Linked DNA regions of Stegostoma tigrinum. The protein of the gene in region 4 purifies or fractionates together with the protein of the main gene of each other region. This does not show direct contact. Links are inferred from orthologs where the notes say so. Each region holds a gene or a part of one and is shown on either strand. Other genes may lie near its edges.

Region 1 (7,768 bases), on a different chromosome or scaffold from region 4:
ATTCATTACTGCCTGCCAGGGTAGTAGAGGCAGAAACCATAATAACATTTCAGAAGTTTTTAGTTGTGCGCTTGTAATGCTGAGGCATGCAAGGTTATGGGCAAAATGCTGGAAAATGGGAATAGAATAGTTAGGTTACAAGGTGTAGAGCTGGATGAACAAAGCAGGCCAAGCAGCATCAGAGGAGCAGGAAAGTTGATGTTTCAGGTCGAGACCCTTCTAGGTAGATCCAGCTCTATACCTTGTTATCTCAGATTCTCCAGCACAGACAGTTCCTACTACCTCTGTAAGAATAGTTGGGTATTTGTGTTTGACCAGCGCAGACTCAATGGGCCAATGGGTATTTTTCTTTGATGTAGACCTCTATGACTACATAATCTTATGAGAAAGAAGACTGTAGGTAATAAGCAGTCATAGAATTACATATTCAATGTGAAGCTATCAGGGCTCGGGTGTCTCAAACTAGGATTTTAAAGTAAATAAAGGGATTCATTTGACTGAGAAAGCAGAGCTGGCTAAACTGAGACTAGTTTATGAGGTAGGACAATAGAAACTCAGTGGCAGACTGTTAAAGGCACATTTAATGACTCTCAGCAAAAATTTATTCCGGTGAGATCCAAAGACTCCTCGAGAAGGATGAATCAACTGATGGTGAATAGGTAAACTAAGGTCAGTGTTCGACTGAAAGAAGCACTGTATAATTTTCTCAGAGATAGATAGAACTTCAGTTGCTGGAGTTAGAGATGACGCAGTGTGGAACTGGAGGAACATAGCAGGTCAGGCAGCATCAGAGGAGCAGGAAAGTCGACATTTTGGATTGGAACCCGAAACGTTAACTTTCCTGCTTCTCTGATGCTGCCTGACCTGTTGTGTTCCTCCAGCTCCGCACTGTGCTGTCACTGTACAATTCTCTAATGAGTAGTGATAAGTCAGAGGTGTCGACAGATATTTAAGAGCCAGCAGTGAATTTAAAAAATTACATAAATATTAAGTGGAGTGGCAGAAAGCAGACTATGAGTGATATCTAGCTAGATGGGAACAAAAACAGAGAATAAAAGTTATAGTATTAGTCCTCTTGTGACAGTGAATCTGGAGGATTGAAAATGGAAATTAAAGAAATCACTGAGATTTTTACCAACTATTTTATGTTGGGTTCCGTGTAGATACTGAAAATCAAGAGGTGATACAGAGAGACGAATTTCAAGTAATCACCATCACCAGGGAAAAGCTGCTGGGAAAACTATTTGACCTAAAGTTTGAAGGTCCCCAGGATCTAACATAGAACAATACTGCGTAGAACAGGCCCTTCGGCCCTCGATGTTGCGCTGTCTTAAAAGAAATTACAAAGATAGTGGGGGATTCATTATAATTTTAGAAAATTCCCTGGATTTTGGAAAAGATCACAGCAGTTTTGAAAATAGCAAATCTTTATTCAATTAAAGTCACCATCGTCTTACTCGACGATAGGACTACTGTTTCATTAGAGAGAGACAACTGCTGGTGGTTTAAACTGAGGGTCACCATAGCTCAGGCAAGAAGACAGGATGAGAAGGGGAGTCCTTCATGGCAACCTCAGCTGGTGCAGGAATTGAACCCATGCTGTTGGCCACACTCTGCAATTCAATCCAACCATCCAGCCAAATGAACTAACCGACCCCTCTACCTTTAAGAACACAGGGGAACAGAAAGCAGGAAACTACAAGCTGCTCAGTGTCACATCCGCCACAGGGAAGATGCTTCAATCAACTCGTAAGGAGGCTATAGCAAAATACTTCAAAAAACGAGTGATCAGAGTCAAAGATAACAAAGCGTGGAGCTGGATTAACACAGCCGGCCAAGCAGCATCTTAGGAGCACAAAAGCTGACATTTTTGGCCTAGACCCTTCATCAGAAAAGGGGGATGGGGAGAGAATTCTGAAATAAATAGGGAGAGAGGAGGAGGCAGACATAAGATGGATAGAGGAGAAGATAGATGGAGAGGGCAGTATAGGTGGGGAGGTAGCAAAAGATCGGAGTCAACATTGTTTTGTAAAAAAGAAATTGTATTTAACTGGTCTTTTAGAGCTATTTGATGAAATAACATCCTAATGAATAGAGAACAACTAATAATATAATAAATTTGTATTTCCAAAAGGTACCAGCTTAGTAGACAGGGAGACATTCTATCAGCATTGATACAATTGGTTAAATAATAGACAGCAGAGATAAATGGTGCATTTTCAGCTTAGCAAGCTGAACAACTGGAGTGCCACAGGGATCAGTTCTGGGCACTGAACTACTCACAACTTAAATCAAGAGGTTGGATGAGATAGTCAAATATACAGCTGCTAAATTTGTCAATGACGGCCCGGAAAATAAAGTGTCAAGAAGTGGAGAGTTTACAATGGGATGCAGATATGTTAAGTGAATGGGCAGATTTAGGAGTCAAGTGCATGAAAAGTGTAACTTTCTCCCCTTTGACGGGAAGAATAGAAAAGCAGCATTTTACTTTTAAAGGTCGAGGGAGAGATCGGAGAACTGAGGTACATAGCGCCATCTAGTTTCCAGGTTGTGAATCCCACAATGGGTTAGCACGCACAAATACAGCAAGTACGAGGAAACTCGATTGAATGGTGGCATTTGTTACAAGGGGTTTGAATATAAAAGTGGGAATGTGCTGTGGGGCCTCGGTGAGAGCACAGCTGGAGGGAGTGGTTTCGTTTTTAAAAGAAATGATGACCCCCAGAAAGTAGTGCAGATCCGAGTTAGCCAGATCCTTCACTGCTCGTACGGTGGGGTTGGGCCATCAGCACCCGGCCCCCAGCACGGGATAGAAGGGCTGAAGGGTCACCTTCCGCACCACCTCAAAGCCCCTTCTCTCTTCCCCCGCCCCCCACCCACCCACCCCAAAAAGCACTGACGAGAGCTCGGTGTTCTCCACGACGAATTTCACATTTTCGTCAGACAGCTCCGTGATCCGCACCGTCGGCTGGTTCGCATACGGCATTGCGCTGCTAACGGCACTCCCCCGGAGGATTACTCCACTTTCCCGACAAGCTCCCTGGCTACCACTCCTCCACTATCCCAGCAAGCCCCGCGGAGCCGCTCCACCCACCGTCCCGGCAGGCTGTAGTGGAGTGGTAATCCGAGATAACAAAGTGTGGGGCTGGATGAACACAGCAGGATCTCAGGAACCCAAAAAGCTGACGTTTCGGGCCTAGACTGAGGAATGGGAGGGAGAATTAAAATGGTTAGCGACTGGGAGGTGCAGTTCTTTTTTTTATTGCGAAACGAGCGGAGGTGTTCTGCAAAGCGGTCCCCAAGCCTCCGCTTGGTTTCCCCAATGTAGAGGGAGCCGCACCGGGTACAGTGGATACGGTATACCACATTGGCAGATGAACATCTGCTTAATATGGAAAGACATCTTGGGGCCTGGGGTAGGGGTGAGGGAGGAGATGTGGGAGCAAGTGTAGCATTTCCTGCGGTTGCAGGGGAGTGTGGAGTGGACAAGGGAGTCACGGAGAGAGTGGTCTCTCCGGAAAGCAGACAGGGGTGGGGATGGAAAAATGTCTTGGATGGTGGGGTCGGATTGTAGATGGCGGAAGTGTCGGAGGATGATGCGTTCTATCTGGAGGTTGGTGGGGTGGTGTGTGAGAATGAGGGGGATCGTCGGTTACGTGGAACAGTCCCTCTTCCGCACCTACACAGGCCCCAAACCCCACCTTTTCCTCCGTTACATTGATGACTGTATCGGCGCCGCCTCTTGCTCCCCAGGGGAGCTTGAACAGTTCATCCACTTCACCAACACCTTCCACCCCAACCTTCAGTTCACCTGGGCCATCTCCAGCACATCCCTCACCTTCCTGGACCTCTGTCTCCATCTCAGGCAACCAGCTTGTAACTGATGTCCATTTCAAGCCCACCGACTCCCACAGCTACCTAGAATACACCTCCTCCTACCCACCCTCCTGCAAAAATTCCATCCCTCCAATTCCTCCACCTCAGCCGCATCTGCTCCTAGGATGAGGCATTCCACTCCTTGGTGAGACCATACCAGATTTGTGTCCAGTTTGGTCTGTTACCTAAGGATATGCTTGCTGTTGAGGGACTACAGCAGAGGATCCCCAGGATGGTGACATGAACCTATAAGGAGTTATGGAGGACTTGGGCTGATGTTTTCTAGAGTTTTGAAGGTTAAGAGATAACCTCACTAGTGCAAACTAAATTTTTACAAAACTCAGTGGAGTAGCTGCAGGAAGCATATTTTCCCAGGCTTCGGTGGGTGGGAACACAGGGAGAAACTGTCTCAGAATAAGGGGCTGAATATTTAGGGCTCAGGAGATTTGTCATACAGAGAAATCTTTGAATGTCCCTTCCACTAAGGGCTGTGGCTCAGTCGTTAATACTGCAGCCACTCAGTGCCAGGGTCCCAGGACTGATTCCAGCCTCAGGCGACTGTCTGTGTCTGCGTGGGTTTCCTCCCACAGTCCAAAGATGTGTCAGGTGCATTGACCGTGCTAAATTGTTAATAGTGTCCAAGGATGTTTAGGTTAGGTGGGTTAGGCATGGGAAATGCAGGAGTAGGGGAATGGGTCTGAGTGGGATACCCTTTGGAAGGACTTGTTGGGCTGAATAGCCTGTTTCCACATTGTAGGGATTCTATGATACATGCATCCTTGCAATGGGGAGTCCGGAAGCAAATTACACGCTGCAGGATTTTTAGATTATGACTTGCTCTTGTAGCCACTATGTTTGTGTAGTACATCAGTCTAGCACAGCACAGGAACAGGCCTCTTGGCCCACCATGTCTTTCTCAACCATGATGTCGTTCTGAACTAATCTCATGTCTCTAAATGCCTCTTTAAAATTATCTTATCCATTTTTACCTGTCATCCAGGTACCTACCACCCTCTTGCGCCCCACCCCCGGCACCTTAAACTTATGCTCCCTTGTATCTGACATTTCCTTGTGGAAAAGCTCTGGCGAACCACCCTTATCATTGCCTCTCATTTTTATGTACTTCTATCAAGTCACCTCTCAGTCTCTGGATGCTCTCGTGAAATCAGTCCAAATCTCTCCTTATAGCTAATACACTCCAATCCAGGCAACATCCCAGTAAACCTCTTTATACACCCTCTTCAAAGCCTCCACATCCTTCCTATAGTGCAGCAACCAGAACAGCGCACACTACTCTAAATTTGACCTCACTGAAGTTTTGTACGACTGAACGACTTGCCAATTCTTATACTCAATACCCCAATGAATGAAGGCAAGCATGCCATATGCCTTATTTATCACCTCATTCACTCTTGTTGCCACTTTCAGGGACTGTGAACTCAGATCCCAAGACCCTCTCTATATCAATGCTCCTAAGGGTCTGGCCATTTACTGCGCACTCTCATCTTGCATTTGATATCACAAAACGCATCACCTCACACTGAAGAAGGGTCCTGATCCAAAAAGTCAGCTTTCCTGCTCCTCTGATGCTGCCTGACCTGCTGTGTTCCTCCAGATCCACACTTTTATTACCTCACACTTGTCTAGGTTAAACTCCAACTGCCATTTTTGAACTCAAATATTAAATAATTGATATCCTGCTTGGACAACCTTATCATCATCCGAAACTCTACAAATACATCCTTCATTATATTCATAAGCACACTCCCTCTGTATCCATATGCACCTCTCCCCCGTGTCGACGTACACCCCTCCCCCTGTATCCCAGACACCACCATCACCGTCCCTGGATATGTCCTGTCTCATCAGCAGGACAAACCCAGGACAGGTGTTGGCACAGTGATATACAGTCAGGAGGGAGTTGCTCTGGGAGTTCTCAACATTGACTCTGGACTCCATGATATCTCATAGCTTTAGGTTAAACATGGGCAAGGAAACCTCCTGCTGATTACCACATACAGTCCTCTCAGCTGATGAATTGGGACTCCTTCATTTGACAACACTAGGGAGAAGCACTGAGGATGGCAAGGGCACAAAATGTACTCTGGATGGATGATTTCAATGTCCACCACCAACAGTAGTTTCGATTAGATTCCCTACAGTGTGGAAACAGGTCCTTTGGCCCAACAAGTCCACACTCCCCCTTCGAGCATCCCACACAGATCCATCCACCTATAACCCACACACCCCTGTACAGTAGGAGCAATTTAGCATAGCCAATCCACCTAGCCTGCACATCTTTGGACTGTGGGAGGAAACTGAAGCACCCGGAGGAAACCCACGCAGACATGGGGAGAACATGCAAACCCCGCACAGTTACCTGAGGCTGGAATCGAACCCGGGTCCCTGGTGCTGTGAGGCTGCAGTGCCAACCACTGAGCCACCGTGCCGCAGCAGTACTACCGATTGAGCTGGTTGGGCCTTAGAAGGACATAGCTGTGAGACTGGAGGAACACAGCAGGCCAGGCAGCATCAGAGCAGCAGGAAAGTCAATGTTGTGATCAGAGATAATGGGAACTGCAGATGCTGGAAAATCCGAGATAACAAAGTGTGGAGCTGAATGAACCCAGCAAGCCAAGCAGCATCTTAGGAGCACAAAAGCTGACATTTCGGGCCGAGACCCTTCATCAGCAATGGGGGAGGGGGAGAGGGTTCTGAAATAAATAGGGAGAGACGGGGAGGCGGACTGAAGATGGATAGAGGAGAAGGTGGACTGCAGCAGTTCGAGAAGGCAGCTCACACCACCTTCTCAAGGGCAATTAGCGACAGGCAATAAATGCTGACCCAGCCAGCAATGCACACTTCCCACAAATGAATGAAAGAAAATATATACACTTCCTCCCTATCCACATGCATCCATCATGGTATCTGACAGCAGGCTACACAGAACTCTACAGGACCATTTGTTTTCTCATTGATTGCTCTTTATTTGAACACACACTCATTACACACCCACACACTCACTCATGTATACATGGTGTACACACCCACACAGACATGTACACAGTCTGCAGCCTTGCCTCAGACAAGATCTCTATGGTGCCAGGTCCACACATTGTTGGTCATGATGGCCAGCACGCTGCTCATTGGTGCTGCCCAATGCCACTCAGGTTCTTCAACTGCAAAGAGAAAAAGGAGCCATCGTCAGCAGCAGCAAGGTGTGGGCCTGAAGGTAAGGAGTAGGGAGAAGAACTTGGCCCAAAGGGAAGGCGCAACCTGAGGGCAGGGAGGAGCCTGGGCCAGTACCCCAGGGGAGGGGCTGGAGCCCGCAGGGTTGAGGAGAAGTTACAGCATGGGATACAGAGCATGGGATTGGCTGTCCTGCCCTCTCCCATAGACTATGGCTATCTCAGGGTAAGTGGCACAGAGTGGCATGAAAGTGGCGATGCTTCAGGCACAGCTACAGACAACACATGGTAAAAGTGGCTTTCAATTGCACCAGTATAATCAATGCTACCCTTTTCCAACACTGGAGGATGGAATCACCCAGATTAGGAGCACCCACCCTGGCCCAGGACCACCTTGCTGGGGGCCAGTAACCTCAGCGTGGCTGAGGCCTAAGGTCCTCAGTCTCTCCACAACTGAGATTCAGGGCGGCTTCCTGCCTGCCTCCTGCAAGTACCTTTGGTGGTAAATCCCCAAAAGCTGACACTTACCGTCACTGCAGCTCCCCTCAGCCCAAGGAAAAGAGCTCTGCTCGTCAACTCAACCTGTAGGAGAAAACAGCCAAGAGTGATTGAGCTCGGAGTGATTGACCCCAGAATGACTGAATAGAGTCAGTGCATGATCATAGAGACACATGAATCAAGTGTGGGAATAGGCCACTTGGCTC
Region 2 (7,837 bases), on a different chromosome or scaffold from region 4:
GCTTAATCTCAAACTGCTGCCAGGAAGAGGAAGAGTAAGAAACAAGAGTTTGAAATAATGCGAGATAATAAGAACTGCAGATGCTGGAGAATCCGAGATAACAGGCGTAGAGCTGGATGAACACAGCAGGCCAAGCAGCATCTTAGGAGCAGGAAAGCTGACATTTTGTGTCTAGACCCTTCATCAGAAATGGGGGAAGGGGAGAGGGTTCTGAAATAAATAGGGAGAGAGGGGAAGGCGGATCGAAGATGGATAGAGGAAAAGATAGATGGAGAGGAGACAGACAAGTTAAAGAGGCAGGGATGGAGCCAGTAAAGCTGAGCGTAGGTGGAGAGGAAGGGAGGAGACAGGTCAGTCTAGGGAGTACTGACTGGTCAAGTGGGCAGGAAATGGGGGTGCGGCTTGAGCTAGGAGGGGGGATAGGTGAGAGGCAACAGATTAGGGAGGGGGGGATGCAGGGGGGGGGGGGGGGGGGGGAAAGAGAGAGATTTTGAAGCTGGCGAAATCCACATTGATACCATTGGGCTGCAGGGTGCCCAAGTGGAATATGAGTTGCTGTTCCTGCAACCTTCGGGTGGCATCGTTGTGGCACTGCAGGAGGCTCAGGATGGACATGTCATCTGAGGAATGGGAGGGGGAGATGAAATGGTTCGCAACTGGGAGGTGCAGTTGTTTAACGCGAATCAAACGTAGGTGTGCTGCAAAGCAGTCCTCAAGCCTCTGCTTGGTTTCCCCCGATATACAGGAGGCCACAACAGGTACAGCAGGTGCAGAGTCTCAAACTGCTGCCAGGAAGAGGAAGAGTAAGATGTATACTACATTGGCAGATGTGCAGGTGAACATCTGCTTGATGTGGAAAATCTTCTTGGGGCCTCTGATGGGGGTGAGGGAGGTGGTGTGGAGGCAAGAGTAGCACTTCCTGCTGTTGCAGGGAAAAGTGCCAGGTGTGGTGGGGCTGGAGGGGAGTGTGGAGCAGACAAGGGAGTCACGGAGGCAATGGTCCCTCCGGAAAGCAGACAAGGGTGGGGAGGGGAAAATGTCTTTGGTGGTGCGGTTGGATTGCAGATGGCGTAAGTGTTGGAGGATGACGCGTTGGATCCAGAGGTTGGTGGGATGGTACGTGAGGATGAGGGGGGATTCTTTTTTGGTTGTTATTGCGCGGACGGGGTGTGAGGGATGAATTGCAGGATTTCCAGCTCATTGCATCCCCGCCTCCCTAACCTGTTCTTCCTCTCACCTATTCCCTCCTCCCACCTCAAGCCACACCCCCCTTTCCTACTTACTAACCTCATCCTGCCCCCTTGACCTATCCGTCCTCCCTGGACTGACCTATCTCCTCACCTACACTCAGCTTTACTGGCTCCATCCCTGCCTGTTTAACTTGTCTGTCTCCTCTCCATCTTCAATCCGCCTCCCCCTCCCTCCCTATTTATTTCAGAACCCTCCTCCATTTCTGATGAAGGGTCTAGACACAAAATGTCAGCTTTCCTGCTCCTAAATTGCTGCTTCGCCTGTGTTTATCCAGCTCTACACCTTGTTATCTCTGAAAGTAATGCCTTTGGTCTTTTCAATATTTAACATTTCTGCTAATTCAATATTGGATGTCAGATTAGCATCAATGAAATCAAGACTGGAGTTGTCAGTGTACATCTCCGTCCCCTGCTTTGGGGAAGTGTTGGGTGAATTTAAATACAGGTTTTTCAACAACCTTCCCTCAAACTACATTACAGAAACATTTTATTGTTTGCAGAGCCTTGTATTGCTTCTCTATTTCAAGTCTCTAGTCTAGAGGTTATGAAATAAAGTTGAGGTTGTGGAAAGTCTTAAATGACGAGTTCTTTCTTTCAACCACGGCCTGTTAACACCTCCCATATGCAGCGTGAACGCAGTAAGTATGATTTAATATAAACAGGCTTTCAGTAAGCCATGAAGGTAAACTTCTCAAAAGTCCAACTTACACTTGAAATCAAACGACGTTTGGCTGATCCACGTCTTCACACATTTGTTGAGAACGGAGATTTGTCATTAACACTGCGTACGTTTTAATATCTACCAGTAATTCGACTTCAGGCATTCATCTAGACCCGCCATCAATCCTATCTGCTGACGATACGAAAATAGCAGGAAACGCAGAACTGGTGACAACACATTAGAGGGAGGGAATCTCAAAGAAAAGGAGACTTTTCCCGGTGCTCAGAGAGGGCGCTATTTGTGGCTGTAAAATGAGACAGCAAGAGCTCAGCACTGCGGTATCGATTGATGGGAGTAGGCGACCGGCCTTTGTACAATGGCACCCATGTATTGTACATAAATTTAAAAAAAGGCGAGTACAAGGGGGCAGGTATTCCCCAACCTGGGGAAAGAACTTGCCAAAGTACTGGGAGAAAACTGAATTAAGTATTTTAAAAGTGGCCAACTCGCGGACGTCGATCGGACAATTCCTGTTCAGTGTAGAGAATCCAGTTTGAATTTACACTAGTCATGCTGAACTATGAGGCAACCACAACAGGCGCCGCATGGGGGGGGAAAAAACTAGGCGTCTGTAATTTCGCTCCTCCTGCTGTCCTTGCGATCAGCAGCATATTTAACTCTGGGAGGGTCGGTTGCTACCCACCGACTGGAAAAGGCGCAAACATGTAGTTTCTGCAACAGGGGGATGGGGAAAGGCTGTGTGTTAGATAACCCAAACACGTGATGTGCCCGCCAAAAAATACAGACCCCTTTCCCCATACATTCACCGAGCAAGGTTTGAGAGATGAAGTTGTTGAGCAGTAATGTTTAATACCTTGGTCACCAACGTTCCCAGTTTGGAATGCTGCTCATATAAAGGTAGCGTTTCCTCAAACTCAGTCACACCTAACTTCCACCTAGTTTTTTTTAGAAAGCGAGAAGGACGGACAACTCCGCTCAGTGCAAGATATACAAAAAAGTCTTCAATCATTTTGGAGAGCGTGTTGACAGATTTCGACCCCATGCCCACCAAGAAAAATGATCCAAGAAAACCTCCTTTCATCCAACACAAAACATGGAGGAACAAATTCACCGACTTGCCCATGTTCCTCTCACCAGAGGATTTATTAAATAATTTATGAATAATTTATTTATTAAATCATTTGTGAATTAAGTAATTTATTGAGTACACGTGGAGTGCATTCAGCCTGACTGTACCCCCCTCCCCGGAAATCACGGTGCACATTTAAAAAGGACAGACCCCTTTGAAAGGAATGGGCACGTTTTCCCTGACCGCCAGAGGGGGGAGAGTTAGAGAGAGAGAGAAGGTACGGCCCTGAACAAATGAGACCACGACTCAAATTCAGGAACAAGCGTGAGAGCAGCCAATCCAGCACCCCCAAATTCCGTCAGAAACTGCGGCTGGCCACCTGTTACTAGGTTGGCCAGACTTCTAACTGAAAACACACGCACTCAAACCATCCCCCAACACATACACACACAAAGTGCAGCTTGGCAGAAAATGGCAGCAGCGGGGCAGCAAAGAGGGCGAAGAGTGAGATGGGGCCACGCCCAGCGCCCGCCGTTCGAAATAAATCAGGCAGGAATCGGGGGGCGGGGAGAGATCCCGCATCCCGTTCAACCTAAGGGTTCCCACACACACATCCACCTACTCACCAACACACCTACACCCCACAACCAGTCAATAAATACAGATATTGCAACACCCTCACCACTCTCCACACCTTCACACACCCCAGCCCCTCATACATCCCCAACAGACCCACCCCATATACACACATTAACCTGGCCTCTTAAATCCTGCCCCCACTCCAATACAGGCTTTTGAATAAGGAATTGATAAAATAATCGTTTAATTTTGAAGGAGGGAACAATCCAGGATTCCCTGCCTTAACACTGATTCCTTTCCCTGGTTTTTTTTGGGGGGGGGGGGGGGTGGAGAGAGAGAGAGAGAGAGAGATTGATTGAGATTTGTGGCGTATCTCCTTAAACACGGTGCTTCCCCAACCCCCCCTGGCCGCCAACACACCCACACAACCCAAGGCCAGAGAGAACATAGAACATAGAGAGCGCGTTTAAGTGTCCCCGGTCTGAGTTGGTGCGTTTCTCCCCCCACCATTTTGCTGTTAGCTGATATTATTGTTTTAATGATATATGTATTTTACCTTGGAATGGTCCGGAGGTCTCCCGATCCCGTGCACAGATCCTGCTGCCGAGAGAACCACACCTCCAACAGCTTCTCGGTCCCTTCGAAAAAGTGTGCACCGTTTTCCATCGTGAAACAAACGAGAGGGGAAAGAAAAATTCGCCCCCTCCTCCTCCCTCTTTTCCCTTCTACAAATTCTATTTTCTCTTTTAAAAAACCTCCCCCCCCTTTTTCCCCCTCTCTCTGGTAAAAAGCTTAATAAGTTAGTGTCAATTGCTCTGTTTTAGTGGGTTCTTGAGCGGTCCGGTTTCTGCTTTGCTTCCCTATTTTTTCAAGAAAAAGATTTTTTTGTTTGTTTTTTTTATACATATATATATATAATGTTTCGTAGTTGCCCCCAATGCGATCCCTCTACACAGAGAATTGCATCCAGCGAGCGCTAGCTAATGTCGCCGGCCATACTGTGACTAGCAGCGAGACGTCCGCCGGCGCCGGCTTTTATAACCTCCGCCTCCCTCCTTTGCTCACCACCCCCATCCGCTCCAACCCAATCACTTGACTTCTCCAAACTGTCTGCTGCACCGCCCTCTCTACCGACGGCACAATAGAACTGCTGTGACGTCAACGGCCTGGCTGGAGCTGCCCCTGCCCGTTCCCTCCACTACCGTCACCATCACCAGTCGAACGTTCGGCGCGAGACCTTGCGCCCGGGCAAAACCGTTAGTGGAGCCGCGCGCAGATCGACGTTCCAATTCAACTATAAAAGTTGCACGTTTGGAAGGGGCGGGGGGAAGGAAACGAGAAGACATTGCAAATAAATTGCCCCAAACCTCTTTAACGCTCGATAAAAGCCATCGCACGATTTCATCTCACCCTCGTTTTTTCGGGCCGATTCCTAACGCGATTGGTTCGTTTCGCAGTCAGTCACGTTTATCGCAGTGCCGTATCGCAAGAAGGCGGGAATGTAACAGATACATTTTAGTTTTTCCGAACAAAAAGGGATGTTGAAGGTTTATTCCGATGTGTATTTGAATATCTTATCGCTGTTTATTGATTTCAGTGTCCCGGTGCTTCTTCACCCTTTCCCACCCCCACACCCGTCTGCTGCTCTGCTCGGACTAACTGTTTTTACTTTTGGATCCGAAAACGGTTAAAACCGTCCGCAGCAATGAGCGACGGGAGTTGTAGTCTTTGACCCCGGGATGCAGCCGCGCTAGTCAAGGCCCTGCCGAAGCTCTAAGGACTACAAATGCCGGCATGCCTCGCGGTCCGCCATTGTCTGCCGCTAACGTCAACATAACAAACCCATGGTTAAATGTCGCCGGGCGAACTTGTTGGAAGAGACAAAAAAAATACACACGAAATAAGGAAATGATCGGTGCTCAGTTTAAATAATCCAGCCCGTTTCCCTTCCTCCCCCTTCCAACAGACATTGAAAGTATTTATGCATTTATGGAGTGACAGTCATGGATTACGATTTTAAGACGAAACTAGCAGCAGAGCGAGAGAAAGTAGAAGATCTGTTTGAATATGAAGGTTGCAAAGTGGGTCGTGGTACCTACGGTCATGTTTACAAAGCAAAAAGAAAAGATGGGTAAGAAATCAGTACCTTCAGGCGATTTTGTGAGGTGTTGCTGCAGGCGCCCAGTAAGACTTATCAGAGTATGCCTTTTTAAAAGTTTATTTCTGGGTTACTCAGTTCACGTGCTGCAAGACCAATGTTGATGTTTCTGGTTTGTAAATATATCCTCACACCTTGTGTTTACAACTCCTTATTGTAACCCGTTTAATCAAGCCGAGGCCTCCAGCCCTCATAACCATTGTTTTGGAAACTATGTATTTATTGATAGGTTTATTGGTATGATATAAAACAGACTACTTCTTCGGTTTTCTTTTATTCTAGACTTTGTATAGTAATTTTTTCTCGGCTGAACGCCAGCTGTTAAAGCAGTGCTGCCCATAATATAAGACTAAATCACATTTCGGAACTGTCAAATTAAAATGTAGCTTGTCTTCCATGTTTCACAACACTCAGATACTTAGAAGTCCTAAATCTTGACCGTGTTTTTGAATATTAGGTACTGTATTTTGTAACTGTAGTCATAAGTAAGTAATGAACAACGTATTTACTTTTATTCTTTGACCGAACTGTGCGGTTTACTTCCGTGCATAAAATTAGATATGATAACAGCAATTTGCATTGATGTGTCAGTTAATGTCGACTTGGGTTCCAAGGCAGAGTGAAAGTAGAAATGGGGCTGACCATTCGTGAGGAAGTTAGATGAGTTGACATCTGAATTCTGAGGAAGGGTCACCGGACCCGAAACGTTTAAGGGTGCTGCTTGACCTGCTGTGTTCATCCAGCTCTGCACTTTGTTGTCCCGAAACGTTAACTCTGTTTTTCCCTTCACAGTTGCTGCCAGACCTGCTGAGCTTTTTCCAGCAACTTTGTTTTTGAGTTGACTTAGAGTATTGTTCGAAATCTGGGGTTCCTCAAATAATCTGCCGTTAGATCCTTTTAGAGAAAGAGTATAAATCCTTTGTTATGAACTGCATCCCTCTCCATGGCAACAGTTTGATATTAAATCAATCTCTTTGCAATTCTAGTGTTATGTCAGATCCAGTAGTGAGCTGATATCATATTTGTGCCACCTCAAAGACAGCTTGATCCATTTCTAATATCTTTTGACTTAACCCCCTTCTCAGCTGTAATCCTCTTCTATGCTTTCATTACCTATAGACTTGATGATTCCGATGCACTCCTAATATCCCACACTTTGCTCTTCATAAACTTGTGCTCAGGGAGATTTTGTGGTGCAATTGTTAGCCTTCTTGCCTGTAATTCGCAGGCTTTGTGTTCAAGTCAGATGGTAGGACTTGATGGATTTGAAAGATGGGTTCATAACATGGCAAAATGGTTGACTATCAACCTGTAAATCCTTCTGACGCCTTTAGCAGGCAAAAAGTGTAAAAAAGATTCCTGATCAGCCAGAATTGTGTGATATCTGCAACACAACAGCGTCTCCACACTAAAAGACAAGCTCTTGTTTCACTGTGCTAACTGACAAATGACAGGCAATGAGATAAACCTGTGATCATCTAAAGTACTGATTCACATGTCTTCACTGCAGCAGCACTACCCAGAGCAATTCAATTGTTGGTGACTGTAAGCACTAGGGATCCAGGAAGATTAGACAAAGGGAAGAGGTGAGAGTGGGATTCATGATAGCTAGGTTAGTGGGAGCTGAGGCTGTGGGTGTTCATTTTGGAGAGGGTGTCAGTGATATGTCAGCCCCTCCAAAGTCCTGATTAGGGTAAGCTGTGGGTCCCCAACTTGCCATTAGTCCCTGAACTCTTCTTATTAGCCAAAAAATTGCTGTTGAGTGGGTACAGGCCCTGAGTGACCAATAATTAGTCATTGAAGGCCTGCAATGAGTTGATGGTGGGGGAACTGCCCCAGGCTAGGGCTGACACCTATGTAGTTGTGTACAGGACAGGGGAAGTGGCGTGAAGCCAGCTGTGGAATTTGTGGGCCCCACGCTGTGTAGCAATTCTACGACCCCACCCAACACCCCTCCCTATTGTCAGCATGAATTATTGAAAAATTAGAGCCTGTTTTGCTCCACCGATGCTGTGTATCCAGTTTTTCTTTTTGTTTCAAATTTCCAGCATCTGTGGTGTTTTGCTTTTGCTTTTGTAAATAATATTTTGGTACATTCT
Region 3 (7,225 bases), on a different chromosome or scaffold from region 4:
CCAAGCCGCTTATTTCACTTCACACTGTACCATGCTGATAAAGAGGTTTACCTCAGCTGTTTTACTAGGAATCACTCAATGACTTCAAAACATTGTCATCCCAAACATGGAACCTCAAATTACAGTCCTTATTATTTAAAATAATTAGGCAACATTTTAACCGTTCTACTTGTGGCTAGCATCCAGCATCCAAAGCTGTCCAGTTTAATGAGTTCTTGAACAAAGAATCATTACTGGGCTGAAGTTCATTGTGACTCATACAATTTCTTCTGCCTGGTCAACATTACCACCTTCTCCTTCCAAATGTTTCGTGTTATCTGTGGTTTAAAAAAAAATCCATTTATGATAATTCATTGCAGAATGGCATTTGAAAATCACATTTCAACACTGTAGATCATTCCCAGGTATTCCTGGTGTTCATTCTTATGTCATGGTTCCTCGTTCTTGTCATATATTTAATTGTCAAATAGATTTGTATCCTTACTTCTCTTAGTTATGATTTCTCTTTTATATAGACATTTAGTCTCTGTGCAGTCTTGGTCAATTAAGAGTGAGCAATTTGGAATGGACAATAAATGCTGGCCAAGTGAATGATGGGTAGATCCAGTGAAGGAATAAAAATAAATATTATTCAATTTGGGCATCAAATTGCAGCAATAAAGTTAGCAGATGCTTTTGAGACTTTTTAGGGCTGAACGACAAGAACAGAGCATACTTTCACTATATTAATGTTAGCCAAGGTCTCAGAATAAATATTGCAAAACATGTAGCAGAACAGTCTATTATACTGCGACATCTATTGTTCATTGATCAAATTATACTCATATATTGGTGGCCAGGCTAAAGTATTCTATTTTCTTTATTCATTCACGGGATGAGGGCATCGCTGTCTAGGCAGCATTTATTACCCAGCCCTAATTGCCCAGAAGGCATTTACGAGTCAACCACATTGCTGTGGGTCTGGAGTCACATGTAGGCCAGACCAGGTGAGGATGGCAGTTTCTTTCCCTAAAGGACATGAGTGAACCAGATGGGTTTTTCAACAATCAAGAATGGATTCGTGGTCATCATTCAGTTCTTAATTCCAGATTCACGAATAATAGAGATGGTGGGACTGTCTGTTAGCCAATCAGTTGCTTTTGATCGCTTAATTTTATGTCAATTGCTATTGTTGAAGGTTTGATAGGAACCCAAAAATGCGATTATTTAAATTTGCTTCTCCCCATCACCATGAAAAAGAAGAATCCACACTTTGTATATTATTTTGGTAGACTGAATTTCTTGTTCTATAGAACTGCCATCTTGTCTGTCATGAAAATAAAACTTAAGCACCTTTGGTCTGGCTAGGGTGGAAGATGGGCAAATCAGAGATCCTTCTCATGGATGTGGAATAAAGAGTTAATTACACACTGGCTGAAGAATAGCTACTTAGCAGAATTGAAAGCGCAAAACCATAATGATGCCTGATCACATGGAACAGGAGCCTGGGTCCATAGGATTCCAGATGGCCCCAATTCTTGTAAATTGTTACACTTAATAAAGCCTGTTCATGTTCACTCACAAGAGTGTATACAACAACTAGTCTGCTCCTGTGTGTGGCCAATGCGATGATCCAGTGTTATGATTCCAGCTTACAATAATGCTAGAGAAATCAGTTCCCAGAGTGAAGCCTGGCTTGAAAAACCTTATATTTACTATTTTCTTTTTGTTTCACATGGCGGTCAGTCACATGAATTTATTTATGAGGGTCCGCCCAATGGACTTCAAACAACATTTACTGCACAGAATAAAAATAAATAGGAACTATTAGAATGTTGTAATTACAGACATCAGAAAGAAAGATTCATCCTTTTTATCCTGCCAGTACTCTTACAGGCACTTAAATCTCAGTGAAGAATCACTCCAATCTCCACATTAAAGCTTCTTGCTCAGTTGGCATAAGTTCTAATCGTTTTTTTTGGTAAATTTCTGCACATTCATGAAATTTTTCAGTTTCTGTTAGTTTCCACCTTTTTTTCCTATTAATGTTTTTTCTGAGATCCTTAAAAAAGTCTGCTAATTCAGCACACGGTTACTTAACATGGGTTGATTAAACTCATGTGTTGAAATAGGCTTTTAGGATGTTTTCTTCTCTGACACTTCCATAGCTTTATGCTCTGGAGCTAAGTACCTCAGGACTTCTCCCCAACCCCAACTGCTGGGAAACTGTAAACAACAGCATCAATGCTATTACAGGCCTTTTCCTCCTGTACAAAAACACTTATGGCTCCTTTCTCGGTTGGCCATAAAACTCAAAACAACTTTGTAGAATTCTGGTCATTTAGCTGAAATCGCATGGCCTTTTTGTAAATAATGTTTTGAACTGCACAAGTCAGATTTTCATTTAATATCTAATGTTCATTTCCCCTCACTTCAGACTCCAAGTTCTCAAATAACATATTACATTTTCCCTCATAACAAATGGATACTACCTCCCTCTCTCTCTGTGGCTTTCTCCACATGTGGATTATCTTGGGGAAAGACTTTTGCTCATGCGGTCAAGCTGTTGTGTGACCAGTGGGCATCTAGGGGGTGCAGGTCCACAGGAGCGATACAGCTCAAAATCTTGTCATTTAAGTTAAATTTCCTTTGACTTTTTAAAAATAAAGTCAGAGTATTAACAGCAAGGAAAGAGACCCTTTGACCTATCATGTCCACCTGGTCATCAAATATCCATCTACCGTAATTCCATTTTCCAGCACTTGGCCCACAGTCATATACTATGGCATTTCAAGTGCTCATTAAAATAGTTCTTTAATACTTGATAATTCCTTCCTTTTCCACACTTTCAGGCAGGATGTCCCAGATATCCATCACTCTACGGATGAAACAAAAGCTTTCTTCAAATCTCCTAAAAAGCTCTTGCTCCAAACTTTAAATCTCTGCCCTTTGGTTATCGTCACATCTACTAAGGGGAACTATTTCTCCCTATCTACTCTATCTCTGCCCTTGGAATCTTGTATATCTTAAACATATCTGCTCTCAGCCTTCCTTGTTCCAAGGAAAACAACTCCAGACTGTCTAGTTTTTCTTCACAGTTGAATCACTCCAGCCAAGAAACATCCTGATGAATCTACTCTACATCTTCTCTAATAATCACACTTTTCCTATGGTGTTGCAACCAGAACTCCACACAGTACTCCAGCTGTGGCCTAACTAACATAATGTACAGCTCCATCACAATCTCCTTCCTCTTGTATTCAACACCCTGACCAATGAAGGTACGTAACCTACACACATTCTTAACCACCTTTATTTACCTGTCCTGCTGCTTTCAAGGGTATATGGACAAGCATACCAAAGTTCCTGGTTGTCTACTTGCTAGGATCTACCATTGAATATGTATTCCCTTCTCTTGTTAGTCTTCCCAAAATGCAACACTTCATACTCTTTAAGATTAAATTCCTTTGCCACTGTTCAGCTGATGTGACCAGCCCAACCATATTATCCTGTAGTCTAAGGTTTTCCTTCCAAGTATTTTCACCACCAATTTTCAGGTCATCTGCAAACTTACTGATTCTACCTTCTACTGTACATTCAAGGCTAGATCATTATGGTGCACAACCAACGCCAAGGAACCCAGCACCTAATGGACACATGCTTCCAGTCAAAAGACTTCGCCCCTCACAGCGCTGCTGGCCACGAAGTTCGTTTTGAATCTAAAACAAAAACAAAATTGCTGGAGAGGCTCAGCAGGTCTGGCAGCATGTGTGAAGGAAAAAACGGAGTTAACGTTTCGGGTCTGGTGACCTTCCTCATAACGGATCCAATTCATTTTGGATCTAATTTGTCACATTCACGTGGATCCCACGGGCATATTTTTGGTTTCATTCGACGCGAATGTGGCTCAGCATTTATTTATGTGCCATGAAATCTGAAGTAACCAAATGCCTATTGGAATTACTTCGGCATATTATCATGTTCCTAACATCCCGGGGACGCTAGACAATCCATTCCGAACATGCTCGTACACAGGACCTTGCATCACACTTCACGCGTGCGAGCACCCATGCACGAGATATGCTAGGCAACGGCATACAATGAGTGGCGGCGTGCATTTTCTTCACGACAATTTACGGCAATGCCGTAGGTGGGATTGATGTGTGATACCGGCGTTGTGTAGAGGTAGCGAGCGGTGAGGGGGTGATCGCAGCGACGGCTCGTGCAACCATCCCACGTCAACAGGCCAACCAGCGGCTTATATGGTGCCTCCGAGTGTCACCCAGCGATATCGTGAACCCGCAAGAGAGGCGGTCGGCTTCAGTTAGACAATACAACTATTAAAACAAAATAGATTGGAAAGCTTCGAAAATGGACTATGATTTCAAGATGAAGCTGACGACAGAGAGGGAACGAGTGGAGGACCTGTTTGAATATGAAGGCTGTAAAGTTGGAAGAGGCACTTATGGTCATGTATACAAAGCCAAACGGAAAGACGGGTAGGTAAAGGTTTCAAGAGCATGTAGGCCACGCTGGTCATTCTTGATGCAGGTTCTTGCTTGGATTTTAATTGGCGAAGGAGCGAAGCTGAGTTCTTTCTGCCAATAACTTTGTCGTGCGCAACCTGTTTTTGAAGTAAAGTATGTTGCTTGTCTGGTGCAGCTTTTCGAGTCTTTGCGGTTAAATACGTGCAAAAGCACTTGAGTGAAACCAACTTTACTGTATTTTTATAGAGTAATATTTGATTATTGCCTTTGTTAGGGATGGTGTCAAGTAAACCATTTGGTCGTGAAACCTTTGAACTTGTATGCATCCTTCATAATTACTATTTCTCATTTCAATTAACTTTTAAACTAATGAGTCTGGATAGAGCTGGAAATATTAATGGACCTACTTTAAATTGTTTTCTTGATTATTGTTGGATTGACATCTTCATTGAATTGTTTGCGACCTTTAAAATACATTCGTGGCAAAGTTACACATGGTGATATATTTCATAAGTTTATTGATATTCAAATGATATGTAATGACGAGTACTTTAAAAAGCTCTTCCAAATCTTAAGTAATGCATGTAAATGCCACACTCTTTCCCTTCCCCCCCCCCCCCCCCCCAGCAGGATTTCCAGTGGCATTTAGATTGGTTTCAAATGCTAACTCTGAAATTAATTCTGACCTTGGCATTTACCTGTTGGAGGTTTTTTTTTTAAAACGAGCTGTTGTTTATAAGAGTGGGAATAGAATTCATGTTGTAGAATTTGACTTTACACAAAATGTGAGTTTTATTTTTGTAATTTTTTTGGGGTGATGTTGCTGTGTTTGACAAACACTAGTTAGGGTCAGTAGCTGCTTTTAGTTTTCATTCCTCCTGTGGATGATTTTCTTTGTCAGCACTAACGATTGCACCCTCCTGGTTTGTTATGACTGTCTTACAGTTGTGGAGAAGAATAAGGCAAGATTTGGACATTCACATAGATTTATAGTTGGAGTCATTATCATACCATTAAGGAAGAAAAACTCAGCTGATTTTAGCCTTTCTATTTGGGATATTGGTATACTGTTGCACCTCGTAGTACAGTAAAGATATGCAAATTCAACATAGAATGAGGGTTGACCTGAGACCTTCTCACCTCCCCAGTTGAGAAATACACCACAGATGCACTTATCGTAGTGAGGGAGCTTCAGAATCTTTTTTAAACATTTAAAATAAATTCTCACTGTACCTGGAATAACCCTACTTTTTTCTGTAATTACAGCTATTATTGTGACAAAATTGAAATCAGTCAAATTGATAAGTTATCTTCTTTCCTCATTGCTTTAATGTAAGTGGGAATCAACATTGTGGATTATTCATTTTTAGAATAGAAAAGCAAAATTTTTTAAAAAAGCATGAAACATACAAGTGTACATGTTCAGAGGTACTGGGTATACTCGTACAAAGAATACAGAATTTTAGCTTGCAGGAACAGCAAACGTTTAGGAAGGCAGATGGCATGTTGTTCTTTATGGCAAGGAGTTTGAGAATAAAAATGAGGAAGTCTTATTCCACTTGTATGTGGTTTTGGTGAAACCACACCTAGAACATAGTGAATTGATGTCTGTATTGTGTTGGAGGCAGAATTGTAAGGGTTCATTAGATTGGTCTCTACAATGAGAGATTGTCCTATGATGTGAGGCTGAGTAAATTGGACCTACATACTTTGGAGTTGAGGCAAATGAAAGATGATCGCTTTGAAATGTACAAAGCTCTTGTTGTTAAGAACTGAGGTGAGAAGAAGTTTCTTGTGACTCTTAAAATTTTCCACTCAAAATGTGCAACCTGCAAGGTTGAATATGTTTTATGGCTGAGATGGACAGACTGTATGCCTCAGAAATGAGGGATATAGGAGTTAGTCAGCAGGAAAATGGAGTTGAAACCCCAGGTTAGCTGTGAATAGCCGGGTAAGCTCTAGTCTATTCCATCTGTATCTTTTGCTGTTATAAGCTGCAATGAAAGAAAAATAAGATGCATTCAACAAGATCTGCTTTAACTCTTACACCATGAATGTCTTTAAGATTGTGCACCTATATTTTGAAGTTAGAGCATTGTTTGTAATCTAAAATAATTTAATCTTGGCAAACGGTAGCTGGGTAACAAATAATTCTGGTATATCCGTCTAATTTCTTTATGATCCTATTTGCTAAACCCTCCTAAACATTTGAAAACAATTTCGTGCCATCCTGCAATGTCAGTTTTCAGCATTTTGATCTTTTATAGTTTATGAAAAGACAGCTCATTTAATTTTTCCTAATCTTCAAGCCAACGCCAAATGTTTCACAGTCTGCAGTTGTCCTTGCTTGTGGATAAGGTCATAAGGTTAAGAATATATTGTTTGTTATGTGAGATGTTTACAGATTTACATACTGTTGCTTTAAAGCCCGTTTGTTTCTGGTGAAACAATTTCACGTGATCAGACAGTTGTGGGTTCAAGCACCATTCCAGAACTTGGGTATGCAATCTAGACTGTCTCTCAGTGCATGATTGAGGGAGTTATTCAAGATGCAATTTCAAATGGTGAATTAAACTGATACTCAAATGCCTGCTTAAGTGGCCATTTAAAAATTTCATAACCCTTGTTTTTGGAAAAAGAAATTGTTAAAGTGTCTTAATTTTGTACCCAGTCATTATAGTGCCATGAGTCATTGGAACCCATATACCTGTATCATTATTTACCCTTTGCTGAGTGAACAAAGATCCTTGTTCCTGTTG
Region 4 (7,303 bases):
CTTTTGTGCTCCTAAGATGCTGCTTGGCCTGCTGTGTTCATCCAGCTCCACATTTTATCTCAGATTCTCCAGCATCTGCAGTTCCCATCATCTCTTCCTCTCACCTATCCCCTCCTCCCACCTCAAGCCGCACCCCCATTTCCTACCTACTAACCTCATCCCGCCCCCTTGACCTGTCCCTCCTCACTGGACTGACCTATCCCCTCCCTACCACCCCACATACACTCACCTTTACCAGCTCCATCCCCGCCTCTTTAACTTGTCTATCTCCTCTCCACCTATCTTCTCCTCTATCCATTGGGATCCGCCTCCCCCCCTCTCCCTATTTATTTCAGAACCCTCTTCCCCTCCCCCATTTCTGAAGAACGGTCTAGGCCCGAAACGTCAGCATTCCTGCTCCTAAGATGCTGTTTGGCCTGCTGTGTTCATCCAGCTCCACACCTGGTAATCTCGGATTCTCCAGCATCTGCAGTTCCTATTATCTCTATTACATCTGCTGGTTTTGTATGCTTAGATGGTAGAGGTCACAGGTTTGGAAAATGCTGTTCAAGGAATCTTAGTGAGTTGTTGTAGTCCATCTTGTGGATAGGAAACAAAAGTTTAAGGTGGTAGATGGATGTCAAACAAGTGGGTTCCTTCATCCTGGATTTTGCTGAGTTTCTTGATTTTGTTGAAGCCTTACTTGGAATTCCACAGCACACATTATTTGTAGACGGTGGGCAGGTTTAAGGAATCAAGGTGTGAGTTACTTGCTCCCAGCTGTCTCATCTACTCTTGATCCAGCTAATTTTATAGTGAATGGTAATGCCTTGAATCTGGAAAGTGACAGTTTAGCAACAATAATGCCATTTAATGTAAAGGGGGGAGATGTTTGTTATTAGATTTTAGGAGCATAAATAGGCCATTCAGTCCATTAGTTTGCTCTGCCATTTTGAGATCACGACTGATCTGATAATACTCAATCATGCTTTACTGCCTTTTTTCCATTATCCTCAATTCCTTTACTGATTAAAAATCTGCCTATCTCAGCCTTGTTGATCCAGCCTTTACAGCCCTTTGCAGGAAAGAATTCCAAATTCACTATCCTCTGAGAAGAAACTCCTCATGTGTCTTAAATGGGTAACCACTTAGTCTGAGATTATATACTCTCTGATCCTAGACTCTCCCTCAAGAGAAACAACTTTTCCATAACTATCCTCCAGGTCCCCTAAGTGACTTGCATGTTTCAATTAGGTTGCCTCTTATACTTTTAAAATCCAAGGAGTTCAATCTCTCCTCAACACATTTCCCCTGAGTTCAATTTTGTGGTCAATCTAATGCCACACTTGCTACCTGATGTCAAGGATGGACATACCATTCTTGACTTTAGTATGAAGGTCTCTGCATGGCTGTCTAGCCAGGATATGCTTGTGCTGTTTGTAATGTATTGATTAATGTCAGGTGGTCCATTTGTTTATATTCTTATTCAACTTTTCAACTGGGTATGGTTTGCTTACTAAGCCATTTGAAATGTCAGTTAAGAGTTAACCACATCGCTGAGATGTGGAGTGATACCTACCAGAGCAGACAGTCAGCATATTTCTTCCCTGAAAGATACTAGTGAATCAAGTGAGTTTGTTTGTATGACAATCCAGTATCTTCATGATCATCATGACTCAGACAAGCATTTTATTGTCGACTTATTAAATAAATTTAAGTTCCTTTGTGATATAATTTCAAATTATGTCACCAGAGTATTCATCTGACCTCTGGATTACTTTTCTCGCAACATTATCACATGTTGTCATTTCAATTCATTACTGCAATTCCACCACAAATTCAGTGGCCACAGCCTGCATCACACATTTGCTTCTAAGCAGTCCTAGTCCCCAAAGAACAAAAGCAAAATGAAAACGAAAAGCATCAGAGGAACTCAGCCGAACATGAGACCATAAGACATAGGAGCAGAATTAGGCCATTCAGTTAACTGAGTCTACTCTGCCATTTGATCATGGCTGATATGCAACAGAGTAGGATTCCTCAGCCAAGCTCATCTGCTCTATCCGTTTCTTTTCTTTTTTCCTCTCCCTGTTTTTTTCTTTCTGGCCTCCTGTCCTCGGGCAGCATTGGCAGCGTCCAGGGCGAAAGCCAGTGTAAACTCTCAGTCCTATGGTGGCATCGACTCTGGCCCCAGGGTGGACATGAAGTCCTGGCCTCAGTGTGGGATTGAACTCCTAGCTTTGAGGTGAAGCCCGGTGTGATCTGAGTTGGAAGACCTGTTGTTCTGAACTCTTGTTTCCCTGTTTTTCTGGTTAATTGTTGGACTTTTAATTTCTTTGTTTTTCAGAATTTTTTTCCCTAAGGAATTTGTACTTGAGAATCTGTACCTAGGTACCTAAGTTGGTGCTGTAATTGGTGAGTTGTAAACTCTTCACTGTACTCATGTGAGTATGTGACAATAAAGCTAATTCTAAATTTCTCAACCCCATTCTCCTTTCTTCTTCCTGTACCCCTTGCTCCCCTAATTAGTCAAGAACCTATCTACTTCTGTCTCAAATACACTCAATGGCTTGGCCTCCACAACCTTCTGTAGCAATGAGTTCCAAGGACTAACCACTCTGGCAGAAGAAATTCCTCCTCGACATTCTGAGGCTTTGCCCCCCAGGTCCTATTCTCTCCTACTAATGGAAACAGCTTCTCCATGTTCACTCTATCCAGGCCTCTCAGACACAGTAAATTTCAGTGCGATCATCTTCTACACTCCTTCTAGTACAGACCCAGAGTCCCCAACCATCCTCATAGGATATGCCCTTATCCCCGGATTATTCCTGCAAACCCCCTCTGGATCTCCTCCAATGCAAGCACATCCTTCCATATGGGGGTCAAGGCTGCTCACAATATTCCAAATACAATTTGACCACAGCCTTTCACAACCTCAGCAATACGCTCTGTTCTTGTATTTGAGCCCTCTTGAAATTAAAGCTAACATTGCATAGCCTTCTTAACTGCCAACCAAATATGCAAAGTAACTTCAAGAGACATCTGAACTAGGACGAAGTCCCCTTGTACTTAAGATGTCCAAAGCCTTTCCCCATTTAGAAAATAGTTTACACATTAATTCTTCAAATCAGATACCTGTGGAGAAAGAAACAAAGAATTAATATTTTGAGTCTTATAACTCTTCTTTGGAACTGAACAAAAGCACAATACTGTGGATGCTAGAAATCTGAGATTAAAAATAGAAAAGACTGGAAACATTCAGCAAGTCAGGCAACATCTATGGAGAGAGAAACAGTGTCAATATTTCAGGTTTTTCACTTCAAAACTTTTACCTAATGGAGAGTCATTGACTTGAAATGTTATCACTCTTTCTGTCTACAGATACTTAATGACCACCTGAGATTTTCCAGCAATATCCTCATTTCATCAGCAAAAAAAATCCTGTGTATATGAAAAGTGCTGAAAATCCAAGTCTTTCTTTTTGTAATTAATCACCATATTCCATAGAAAGAGAATATAATTGCTTAAACTGAGACTGAATTATATTCAATATGTTTTGAAGGAACAATATCAGACTGGAAACATTAACTCTGTTTCTCTGCTACAGATAGTGCCAGATCTGCTGAGTTTCTTTCCACGTGTCTGTTTCAGATTTCCAGCGTACACAGTATTTTATCTGTACTCATGGTATCCTTGGGCTCACTCTGTCACCGTCTCCACAATCTCGCACTCGGTCATGGCACCCAAAGGACATGTGCTTCCAGTCTGGACACTGACTTTGCCGAAACGTCAGCTTTTCTGCTCCGAAGATGCTGCTTGGCCTGCTGTGTTCATCCAGCTCTACACTTTGTTATACTGGCTTTACCCTGACAAGTCTGTTATGAAGAAAAGATCACCTCATAAACTTCTGGAGAATCTCTTCCCACTTACAGTCTCGTCTCATGAGTTCTCCTGGAGACGCTTTCCGAGTGGTTCGTCACCATGGCAACAACCGCCCGCTAACAGACCGGCCACGTGCTCATCACCCCCAGAATGGTTGGCGACCCCAACAAATCTGCGCCTGCGCACTCCGAGGGGGTATGAATGACGTCAGGATTGCGACGTGACGGTACGGCGCAGGACGTGCGAAAGGGACGGGGTAATGGAACTGGAGCGAAAGTACGGGGACGCGCCCTAGCGCGCCGTTATTCTGTCTCCGGCGCACGCATATGGCGGATGATGTACTCGCGCGCGGTTTGTGACGCACGCGCGTGTGCGCGCAACCGGAGCGCAGGCTTCCCGTGGTGCAGCGCGCGGCCTCTCAGTTAGACTCGGTGGAGAGTGAGTGTTAGCTTCGTTTCGCTCTGAGCTGTTCTCTGTTCGGTGGCGGCTGCTGCTGCGGCGGTGTTAGTGCCGGTTCCCTTCAGGCAGCTGACGGACAGCCGGGAGAAAGTGAGGCGCACACTGGACGCACGGAGCCACCCGAGAGCGCTGCGGCGGAATATGACGGTTCCGAGCGGCCCTGCTGCAGCCGCCGCCGCCGCTCTTCGCAGCCACTTCCTCAGACTCTGCGCTTCTTGTTAGCGGGGCTTCCATCCCCGTCCCTCTCTCCCTCTTCCCTCCCCATCTCCTCTTGCCCCCTTCCTTCTCCCCTCCAAACCCCCACCTCGTCCCCTCCACTGCTGCGCCGCCGCCGCCACACTGCCGCCAAATGACACCCACCCCGCAGCAGATCAAGGACCAGCTGCTCCAGGCCATAGACAAGGATGCCAATGTAAGAACCAGGCCGAATGCCTGCACGCAAGCCCCTGGTTCGGGCCTGTGACGGCCTGGGGTTGGTCTGTGTGAGAAAGCGTGTGTGCATAGAAGAGAGTGAACGCGGCCTAACGGGACAGGCTTCGAACCCAGGCCCGCGATGAGTGAGTGAGGAGAGGATTGGAGTGAAGTGGTTGTGGGTAATGGGTAGAGAGCCTGGGCTGTATTACGGCTTGTTCAAGGCTTGGGGGAATTAACCTCCCAGCGTGGAGCAGCAGCAGGATTCCTCTAAACCGTTTCAACTCCCAGCTTCCACGGGGTTTTACAACACACTCTGGGTGCATCTAGCATATCACAGTTACACTCAATGATTCGTCCCAGCATGTATAAAGCGTTTAAGCATCTGCTAATGCTTGTGGTCATCCAAATTGTTGGGAAGTTACTCCTATTTAAAATGGTGACCAACTGTTGTACTCTTTACTGCCTTTTTTAAAGTTAACTGTACATAGTCCTTATGAGATGACATTGTACACATTGCCTGAAATGGGAAGTTTATTTGGTATATATCTATTTATTAATCAATAAATCATTTGATTAAATTGGAGATATAAAATTAAACTTTTGCTTCTGCAACTCTTACCCCTACCCTAAAACAAAGAAAGCTGGGAGTTGGAATGAAGTCATACTGTGGCTAATGTTTCAGCGGGAGGGCATTGAATTCAGTATTTTCACGTTGAAGTGGTTGCTTCAGTGTCAGGGAAGTACATACGGGAGAGCAGATAAAATAGGCAAACAGGAAGTGGCTACTGGAATGATGGGTAACTTGGAGCTCCCGACTAACATTAGCACAGAGTAAATGTAATGGGAATGTACTGAATTTTAGGATAATTCTAATTTAACTTGTAAAAATTTGCTGGAATTTTTCACATGAATCTTCTGAGCTTCCACAAATCAAGATTTATTTTGTGTGGTGAAGTTACAACTAAATAGTAGAGGAATTCTGCTGCTGTATATTTGACAAATGTGATTGTTTCACTATTTCCAAAGTTGTTAGTGCAAATGAAGGTTATACTCTACTCGTTGATAATCTGTGCAGACTTGTGATAACTGAATAATAGGTTTAAACCAGAAAACTGGTTCAACGCATGTGTTTGTGTCACTAAGCTCTTATGAGACAATCTGAATTTCGGAACATTTGCAAAGTGTTGTTATAGTGTTCAGTTCCAAAATCAAATTTCTTGCTGCTCATGATATAGAATAAAGTGAAACTTGTGCATCTCTTTATGAAGCGGTAAAATTTGCAGTTTATCTCTGAGACTCAGATTTGCTGAGGAAGATTTCTTTCATATGGTGAATTGGATCTGCTAATTAGTGTTGGTCCAGTTCTGCAGTTTTGCATCTAAGTATAGTTTACAGCTATGCATAGTTTATTTGATTCCAGAGAATGTTGAGGAAAATTTTACAATCTTAGAAACTTGCAATATGTCCATGCCTGCATTCATACTCTGAAAAAGCAGTTGAGATTCCTTTTTCTGATGAAGGGTCTAGGCCTGAAACGTCAGCTTTTGTGCTCCTAAGATGCTGCTTGGCCTGCTGTGTTCATCCAGCTCCATGCTTTGTTCTCTGAGATTCCTTCTCCTTTGCTTTTTGACTGTGCCACTGAGTTCCTTGATGTCAGTACCTGTTCACCTCCCTTTCAAAGCTATTAATAAAATCAATTTCCATCATCTTGAGTAAATGATCCAGATTTTGATACACTCAGCTTTTCTCCAACAATTTTGAATATGTCAAGTCTAGATATTGACTCACTAGAGCAAATGTTTTCCCCTTTCACGTAACCTGCCATGTATCTATTAGGAAACATTGAAATCTCTGTTCAAAGGAGAGAGAAGGATCTCATCCGTGGTAACACCCTGGTAAATTTCCTCTGTGCCCTTTCTCGTGTCTTTGTATCTTTGCTGAAATGTGATGCCCAGAATTGACTGCAATGAGGCCTTAACCTTTGATTTATAATGTTCTGCCATAATCTCTTTGCTTTTCTATTTGGTTCCTTTGTTTATAAACTCAAATAATCCATGTGCTTTAACTACATGATTAATTTGCTATGCCGTCTTTAAGATGAACATCAGGGTATCTTTACTCTTGTACACTTTTCTAAAATTGTGCCGTTGTGTGCTTGATTTGTTAGTTGCCCACAATCTTCACTTCAGTTGAGTTTGATCTGTTGTGCTCCAACCCATTTCACCATTCTGTACCAACCTGAAGGCTATAAAACTGTGTTTATCATTGACTACTTTACCTTGGCTTTCATATTATCTATAAGCTTTAAAAATCTATCATTTATAAAAATTGTGAAGCATGGTTCATGAGTAATTGATTGTTTTTGCAAACCACTCTAAATGCCCTCCAAGTGTGAAAAATGTTTTTGCTGCCACCACCTATTGTTTTCTTTCATTGAGCTTATTTTTGTATCCATGCCAACATTCTCCCTTTATTTTTATGGAGTTCCAGCTTCTGAATAAGGCACTTTTTGTCCCAAACGTCCATGTTTGCAGTGGCTGCTTCATTACTTTGATCAACATTCTTCAAT

Evidence for each region.
Region 1: the proteins of crsp7 (region 4) and polr2c purify together in Homo sapiens (affinity purification with mass spectrometry; 3 studies listed by BioGRID and IntAct, with this or other methods). This does not show direct contact. The link is inferred for Stegostoma tigrinum from reciprocal best matches to the Homo sapiens genes MED26 and POLR2C.
Region 2: the proteins of crsp7 (region 4) and cdk19 purify together in Homo sapiens (affinity purification with mass spectrometry; 4 studies listed by BioGRID and IntAct, with this or other methods). This does not show direct contact. The link is inferred for Stegostoma tigrinum from reciprocal best matches to the Homo sapiens genes MED26 and CDK19.
Region 3: the proteins of crsp7 (region 4) and cdk8 purify together in Homo sapiens (affinity purification with mass spectrometry; 5 studies listed by BioGRID and IntAct, with this or other methods). This does not show direct contact. The link is inferred for Stegostoma tigrinum from reciprocal best matches to the Homo sapiens genes MED26 and CDK8.

What each region holds. Positions count from the first base shown.
Region 1 is NW_026728366.1:52,485-60,252, forward strand, and holds the start of polr2c (DNA-directed RNA polymerase II subunit RPB3), read right to left. Parts: upstream 3,060-7,768; 5' UTR 2,987-3,059; coding exon 2,901-2,986; exon of another isoform or gene 2,885-2,900; intron 1-2,884. UniProt on the Homo sapiens protein: Core component of RNA polymerase II (Pol II), a DNA-dependent RNA polymerase which synthesizes mRNA precursors and many functional non-coding RNAs using the four ribonucleoside triphosphates as substrates.
Region 2 is NC_081357.1:24,441,757-24,449,593, forward strand, and holds the start of cdk19 (cyclin-dependent kinase 19), read left to right. Parts: upstream 1-4,763; 5' UTR 4,764-5,583; coding exon 5,584-5,711; intron 5,712-7,837. Other genes in the region: amd1 (S-adenosylmethionine decarboxylase proenzyme), read right to left, coding at 4,137-4,246.
Region 3 is NC_081359.1:77,361,833-77,369,057, forward strand, and holds the start of cdk8 (cyclin-dependent kinase 8), read left to right. Parts: upstream 1-4,130; 5' UTR 4,131-4,350; coding exon 4,351-4,478; intron 4,479-7,225.
Region 4 is NC_081383.1:43,779,613-43,786,915, reverse strand, and holds the start of crsp7 (mediator of RNA polymerase II transcription subunit 26), read left to right. Parts: upstream 1-4,255; 5' UTR 4,256-4,669; coding exon 4,670-4,732; intron 4,733-7,303. UniProt on the Homo sapiens protein: Component of the Mediator complex, a coactivator involved in the regulated transcription of nearly all RNA polymerase II-dependent genes.